Rattus norvegicus: one gene and its partner. The protein of the gene in region 1 interacts with the protein of each later gene in a pairwise test. Links are inferred from orthologs where the notes say so. Each region holds a gene or a part of one and is shown on either strand. Other genes may lie near its edges.

Region 1 (3,812 bases):
CATACACAGATTGAGGGTGAAACTGGATCCACTGTAATAGATCCTCCAGGCCCCTCACCCCCAGAAACGGACTGCTTGGGTACTGTGCCTGGAGAGAGAAACTCGACACCTGCACCTCTTCCTGTGTGGACCGAGGATCCCGGCCTGGACAACCCCGCCTTTGAGGAGAGCGCTGCAGCTGACTGTACGTGCCGCACACCTCTTCCTGGTTTATCTGGTCTCCCTGGCCTTTCCTCCCCTGCCCGTCCAGCATGCACTGGTGTCCTGCCAAGACAGTTACACTGGAGTACAGTTTGCATACCACACCACTCCCGCTGCACCCTGCAGCTCTAGCTGGCTGCAGTCCAGAAATAAAGCAGGAGTTTTACTGGAGGAAGCCGGTCCTCCCATCCTTACCCACTGAGACCCGCTACTCTCAGTGCGTGATCAGAACAGTGGTTGCAAAACCACAGATGCAACACGAACAACTCAAAAGTCACTACACTAAACACTATGCTAGTTCAGTAAATCGTGTAGCATTGAGAAGTAAATAAGCAAACGAAGCCAGGTTAAAAGCCCTGAGCCTGAAAGGTGAAGGCTCAGACAGCTGGCTACTGTGTGCCTGGGGGTACAGCATCCGACCCCACACCCCTGCTACCTGCACACCCACTAGGAGCACACAGAGCCTGAGCTGCTCTTCCTTCTAGAACTCATTTTCTCTAAGAGACCGTAAGTCGCCCTCTGTGTTCATGTTTCTTGACACATCTGTGACACTTTTCACCCCTTACCAGTCGGTGCAGCTATGGCCTTTTCTCTGCCGTCTGGGGTTATCCACCAGACCACGGCGTTTTGGTTTGGTTTTTTTCCTACAGTCTTGCGCAATCTGTGCTTGAGCATGGTGGCCGTCTGTTAGTGTGTGGTCCCTACTGGCTTAGTACATAGCAGTTATCTACTGATGGTTCCTGATCGCCTGTGGAAGAAGAAACCTTGGCTAATTTTCACCCTGTTTTATTAGCACAGTCATTGTTAACCTCTGAGACCCTGTGTGGGGAATCTGAGGTAAACACTGCTCTCTTGCTTGACTTGGCAGCCGTACAACAGCCACTTAGTTTACCAGAAGGAGAGATCACCACCATCGAGATCCACCGCACTAACCCGTACATCCAGTTAGGAATCAGCATCGTTGGCGGCAATGAGACGCCACTGATCAACATCGTCATTCAGGAAGTCTACCGGGACGGGGCCATCGCCAGAGATGGAAGGCTCCTTGCCGGAGACCAGATTCTTCAGGTAAGAGCTCCACTATACCTTAGACAGACAATTGTGGTGGTGTAGAAACTGAATTATAGAAAAGTTGGTTTTACTGTTTTTAAGTGTGTGTGTGTGTGTGTGTGTGTGTGTGTGTGTGTGTGTGTGTGTGATCCTGAAACTCAGTTAACCTGCCTCTGCCTCCTAAGGCTGGGTTAGTGGTGAGAGCCACCATACCCAGTTATTTTCTTCTCTCACTTTAATCCCAGTCTTATGTGTGACTGGGCACTTGGAAGGGGGATCCTCCAATACTCTGCCTCCATACTTCTGGCTTAGTCCAGGGCCACCGTTGACCAGGCCAGACTCTTCTTTCCCATTGGTTTTATTTCATACCCAGTGTTTTGTCCATCTCCTCCCTGCACGTCCAACTGGTCCCTCTGTTCCTTGATGACTAGATAAACAAGCTCGGAGGATAAATTCATTCTCTGATGCCCTGCCAGCATCCAGCTCTGGGTGTTCAGTCGCTGCTCTCCGTGGTCCCCAGAGCACTTACTTCCCTTAGGAAGACACAGCTGTCCCCCAAAGCACTAGCGTAAGACCAGATATTTTCCTATTATTAGAAGACATTATTGAAAGGACGGGGACAGCGAGTGTCCTGTTTCATAGGAAACTGCCCAGGCCATTTGAGTCCCTGTGATTTATAAAAAAAAGGGGGGGGATAATTTCTAAGAGAAAAATATTCACGAACAAAAGGAAGACTGACTTCTCAAAGCTCAAGCACAAGAACCGTCTCCCTTGACCCCATTCTGTCCTTTGCTGGGATCCTCCGAGGCCTCCCTCCCGCCTCCCCCTTTCCCTTTCCCTGCTACCTCTCCAGTCTAGGCCTTTGCCACTGCCTTCCTGACTCAGTGCGCACTCCTCCCTGGACTCCAGGTCGTTCACTTCCAGGGGGTGCTGCTGTGACCCTCATTGCCAATGGCAGCCACAGTTCAAGCACCTCATGCAGCCTCACCCTGGTTTTCATGACAACCCTGTAGCCCTGGCTGTCCTGGAACTCACTCATAGACCAGGCTGGACTCAAGCTCAGAGATTAGCCTGCCTCCGCCTCCATAGTGCTGGGATTAAAGGCATGCGCCACCTCCCGACTGCAGCCTCGCTTCCTAATCAGAGTTCTTCCCTAAAGTGCTCCAGGCACCATCCCAGCTGCTAGGGATACATTTTAAAAGTGAAAGTCTGTCCTGCCCTCACAGAACTTCTCTTCCCATGGAAGGCTGAGCATACCAGCCTTCCTGCCTTCTTGTGGGAAACCAACTCTCTCTCCTCAGCCTGCTCTCAGGCTGTGCTCTGGTCTGTGTGATCTCATCTGTGTGCTCTCATCTGTACACTCTCACGCTGTGTGCTCTCATCTGTACACTCTCATCTGTACGCTCTCACGCTGTGTGCTCACATCTGTACACTCTCACGCTGTGTGCTCACATCTGTACACTCTCACGCTGTGTGCTCACATCTGTACACTCTCACGCTGTGTGCTCACATCTGTACGCTCTCACGCTGTGTGCTCACATCTGTACACTCTCACGCTGTGTGCTCACATCTGTACGCTCACATCTGTATGCTTTCATCTGTGTGCTCTCATCTGTACACTCTCACGCTGTGTGCTCTCATCTGTACACTCTCACGCTGTGTGCTCTCATCTGTACACTCTCACGCTGTGTGCTCACATCTGTACGCTCACATCTGTATGCTTTCATCTGTGTGCTCTCATCTGTACACTCTCACGCTGTGTGCTCACATCTGTACGCTCTCACGCTGTGTGCTCACATCTGTACACTCTCACGCTGTGTGCTCACATCTGTACGCTCACATCTGTATGCTTTCATCTGTGTGCTCTCATCTGTACACTCTCACGCTGTGTGCTCTCATCTGTACACTCTCACGCTGTGTGCTCTCATCTGTACACTCTCACGCTGTGTGCTCTCATCTGTACACTCTCATCTGTACGCTCTCACGCTGTGTGCTCTCATCTGTACACTCTCACGCTGTGTGCTCACATCTGTACGCTCTCACGCTGTGTGCTCACATCTGTACGCTCTCACGCTGTGTGCTCACATCTGTACGCTCTCACGCTGTGTGCTCACATCTGTATGCTTTCATCTGTGTGCTCTCATCTGCACGCTCTCACGCTGTGTGCTCTCATCTGTACACTCTCTCGCTGTGTGCTCACATCTGTACGCTCTCACGCTGTGTGCTCACATCTGTACGCTCACATCTGTATGCTTTCATCTGTGTGCTCTCATCTGCACGCTCTCACGCTGTGTGCTCACATCTGTACGCTCTCACGCTGTGTGCTCACATCTGTACACTCACGCTGTGTGCTCTCATCTGTACACTCTCACGCTGTGTGCTCACATCTGTACACTCTCTCGCTGTGTGCTCACATCTGTACGCTCACATCTGTATGCTTTCATCTGTGTGCTCTCATCTGCACGCTCTCACGCTGTGCTTCAATAGGTATGTTCTCCTCTGCACATTGCACAGCCGATCTTCCCACCTGATCCCATTCCCTTGGTTTCTCGACCGCACTC
Region 2 (4,355 bases), about 5.8 Mb from region 1:
TCACCAGATATGGATGCTAGGATCTGAATCAGGTCCTCTGTAAGAGCAATGCACACTGTGGTGCCATCTCTCCAGCTTCTAAATTCTTTTCTCTGAGTGCGTGTTCCTACAGAGGTGTGCATGTGTGTGTGTGTGTGTGTGTGCGCGCGTGTTGGGGGAATGTTCGTTTTCCCTTTTTTTGAGCAGCCGCTGCATTTTTTTAAAGATTTATTTATTTATTTATTATGTATGAGTACACTGTAGCTGTCTTCAGACACAACAGAAGAGGGCATCAGATCCCATGACAGACGGTTGTGAGCCACCATGTGGTTGCTGGGATTTGAACTCAGGACCTCTGGAAGAGCAGTCAGTGCTATCTCTCCAGCCCTCGTTTTCCTTATTAAGAAGGCATTTCACACTGAGAATGGATGAAGGTTCAAATTTACTGGCCTTCAGCTGAAAATAGGCAGTATTCTTGGTTTGATGGTCTACGACTGGGGTCAAAGTTTCCTTTAGTTTCTTGTGAGGCCTGGGGAGTGGTGGTAGTAGTGTCCAGGCAGGTTTTTGTTTTGTTGGTTTGGTTTTTTAATGAGCCTTTCAGAAGCTGAAGATTTAGCTCATCTGATAGAGTGCTTGCCTAGATTCTATCCCCCACACTACCGAAACCACACATGGTGGCACTAGCCTGTAATCCCTCAGCCTGCAAACCCTCTTGTAATCCTCTCAGGTGGTGGCGGCAGGGGGAATCAGAAATTCAAGGGCATCCTTGTCTACCGGAAGAATTTGAAGCTAGTTTGAGGGGAAGGGGTGGGGGAAGTAAGAACTAGTCCCACCCTTCCCCACCCCCTGGCCTGCATGCCCAACTCTACTACCTGGAACTGTCCAGGTTGGGCAAAGTGTTTGTCCCTACCCCAGCCCTCCAACATTCAGGATGAACCACGAACTTCAGCAGAGACAGTCAGGCTAGCATCCACATTGGGTTAGCTTCCTGTGTCTGGGCACAGCTCCTGATGGCAGACCACCTCTGGAAGAGGGATAGCCCTCTGCTCTTGGTCTTCCCCTGCCAGAAACTTGTGGTATCTGTGCCTCGATTGAGCTTTAGTACCAGCTGGGGATGCTTAAGGGTTGAAGGAAATCCTTCCCAGAGCCACTTTCCTGACACCTGTCCAGGTGGTGTACATCTCTACAAGATACCAGTTTGCCCCCGTGGCCAGGAGGTAGAGGGACTGCAGCCTTCTAAAGCCCCTTGCCTCAAGAATATATCGCCTCGCTAGCGATCGCGTGGCGTGGAGTGGGGTCGACCTGAGAGCGTCTGTAGTGAGGCGGGGCCGAGCAATCCCGGGGGCGGGGCGGGGCGGCTCCTGGCCCAGCCCGCCCTGACTCACCCTCTCTGGCCCGCCCGGGAACTCTGCGGGAGTCCGGGTCCATCTACTCCCAGTGATCTAGGAGTTGGGCCCCAGAGTTCCATCCCAGAGCAGTGAGTAAGTAGGGGGGCTTGGGAGGCTTTTGTCCCACCGTGGGGATTAACCTGGACCCAGGGAATGGCCCGGGGAAGTGGGGGGAGTCGCTCAGGTGTGGGTGGTTCCGTGGCCTTGGCGAGAGCAATTCCACACACAGTGGAAGCTGGGGCTGGGAGAAGGAGGGGTGCGGTAATCCTCAGCCGGGCACCGAAGGAGCCAGTGTCCTGGGATCCAGGCAGTTCGGGATCAAGTGAAGGAAGAGAGATCAAAATGCAGGAATCTTGATTTCCACAGCCTGTCCCAGCGTGGGGCGGCGGCGGTGACTGAGAAAGTCAGAGCTCATCTTAGTGAGCGCCCTAAAAGCTGCAGAACCCCACCCTCACAAACCTGCTCCCTTACACTTCAAGATTCTTATATTTGAAGACTCCAAAAGTTCCTTCCAAATCCCAGTAGAATAAGCTTGGGAAGGGGCTAGCCTAGGAGTCTACAGGCCCCCAAGACGGTCCGCCAGGGGTGACTTTCCCTTATCTCTTTAGCCCCTTGTAAAAAAAGGAAAGGGCGATTGAACTTTGAACTTTTTAGTTTTTCATGAGTTTAATTTTTTTCTTTACTAGTTAGTTAGTGTTCGTGTGTATGCACACATGGTTTGGCACTCTCATGGAGGTCAGAGACAACGTGTAGTAGTTGGTTCTTTCCTTCCACCTTATGGGTCCCTGAGCTTGAACTCCGGTCTTTTGCTTGGCCACAGGTGCCTTTGTCCAATGAGCCATCTCAGCAGCCCTGTGTTTGAGGTTGTCCTTGTTCTTGTTTGAGACAAGGTTATACAATGCTGGCTTGTTTCTAACAAGCTTGCTATACAGCTTAAGATGACCCCGGTGTGTTGGTCCTCTTGCCTCTACCCTAAGGAGTATTATAGGGATGTACACCCATCATTCCAGACTTTATGTGATGCTGGAAATTGAATCCAGGGCCTGAGCAAGCTCTCTATCAACTCAGCCACGTCCCTAATTCTGACTTTGTATTCTAAAGGTTGAGAATTCTGTTTCTTCCTAGCCCTTAGCATATGAACTACAGCTGGGGAGGTTGGCTGAGGTTGGGAGGCTCCCCTGCCTCCATTTCTGCAGCAGACGCAGTGCTAAGGTTTAGATGTGGGAAGGAGTTTGCAAGATTGCCCAAAGCCCGGCCTTCTGGGATGCCTTTCTCTGGTGTGGGTATGTATAGAGACCAGAGATTTACTTGAGATGTTCTCTTCAGTGGTTTCTCTATGTTTTTGAAACGTCTCTCACTGACCTAAAGCTCATTTGTTTTGGCTAGGCTAACTGGCCAATGATATTAAGGGATCTACGTACCACTGTGCGGTGTGGAGGAGGGTGCAGGGTGGGGTGGAGGAGCGGCTGTATAGAAATAGGTTACCCTGCCCAATTCTACATGGGTGCTGGGAATATCACTAAGATCCTCATGCTTGCGCTCAAATATTTTACTCACTGAGCCGTTTCCGCAAACCCACTTCTTACATAGAGGTTGCATCTCAGCGAGGGGTGCTTTCAATGGACGGAAAGGAGTGGGTGCCGCCAAACAGGAGGTAGACATTGGCTGGGCAAGCTCAAATAGTACTTGTAGCAGTGAAATCTTCAAGGAGCTATGTATCCTAGTACTTAGACTGAGGCACAGGTGTTGACGTTTTGGGTTCATCTTGTGCTACATAGCCAGCACCAGGCTAGCCAGGGCTACATAGCAAGACCTTATCTCATGAAACGTGAGGAAAGCAGGAGGGTTGGAGGGTGGGCCAGTGGGGAGAGCGCTTGCTGTAGAGGCAGGAGTACCTGAGTTTGCATCTCATGCCCACAGTGAAGGGACTGTAGCCAACCCATGCCTGGTAAACCTGGCTCTGGGAGGCCTTGCCTCTTGACATTCCCTCTGCCTTGCTAAAAACTGTTAGATTACATTCTGAAGCTAGCCCCTGAGGTTTATTTCCTTATCTGGCCACTTCCACCTCCTGAGGCTAATAACCAAGATAACAGTTATCACAGTATTGAAGTCCAGCAATCAGAAGCCCCCTGTAGCTCATCTAATTAACATAACCAATCAAATTAAACGCCTCATCCTAACATGGCTTCCTCCTTTACCTTTATAAACCTCCATTTTCCTAGGGACCAACTCTGTCCCTTTCTGTCTAGAGAAAGTCCTCTGTTCTCCAAGGTAAATCATCCCTTTCCCCTCTCCCTGTTCCATTCCTCTTCTACTTCGGCCTCCATCTTCTGTGTTTGTATCTCTTTATTCCATGCCCTCTGTCCCTCTGGAGCAAATAAATCTCCTTTGTGCTGATTTGTTCTCAGGGTATCTTGAGCTGACTCCAAGGTTCTCTACACACGAAAAAGCAGGGCACTGTGGCACGTTCTGGCAACCTTGGTGGGTCCCAGAATGACTAGCCAGTCCATGGAAATGCTGACCCTTAGATTTCAGGGAGAGGCCTTTTCTCAAAAAAAAAAAAAAAAAAAAAAAAAAAGGTGGGGGGGTCAGATAGTTTAGCAGAATTTGATAATCAGAATCCACACAGAGAATTGATGCCATGAATGCTAGAAGACATCCGACACCAACCACTAAACACATCTGGATCCTTCCACCGTCTCTGTCCCGACACAGGGAAGAGGGCCAGCCTTGCATCTGCCTGTTGGAATTTAATGGCAGGTTCTGGAAGATCTAGTTTGAGTCATGGGGTCAGACAATGATAATCCCCTGTGCCTCCCGCTGATTGTGTCTGCCCACATTATGTGTATGTCTTGTTCCTGAGAGCTAGGCAGAGGCCTCCTGTCTTCTGGCCTGTAACTTGTGAGGGTGGCCTGGCAGAGTTGGGAATTGTGCCACTGTGAGATGGCACATGGAAGGGGGAGGCAGGGGAGTTGATCCTTGCTTTTA

Evidence for each region.
Region 2: the proteins of Lnx2 (region 1) and Lrrc8e interact in a two-hybrid assay, tested with the Homo sapiens proteins (3 studies listed by BioGRID and IntAct). The link is inferred for Rattus norvegicus from reciprocal best matches to the Homo sapiens genes LNX2 and LRRC8E.

The regions. Positions count from the first base shown.
Region 1 is NC_086030.1:13,163,894-13,167,705, forward strand, and holds part of Lnx2 (ligand of Numb protein X 2), read left to right. Parts: coding exon 1-184; intron 185-1,069; coding exon 1,070-1,269; intron 1,270-3,812.
Region 2 is NC_086030.1:7,374,758-7,379,112, forward strand, and holds the start of Lrrc8e (volume-regulated anion channel subunit LRRC8E), read left to right. Parts: upstream 1-1,389; 5' UTR 1,390-1,456; exon of another isoform or gene 1,457-1,460; intron 1,461-2,824; exon of another isoform or gene 2,825-4,355. UniProt on the Homo sapiens protein: Non-essential component of the volume-regulated anion channel (VRAC, also named VSOAC channel), an anion channel required to maintain a constant cell volume in response to extracellular or intracellular osmotic changes.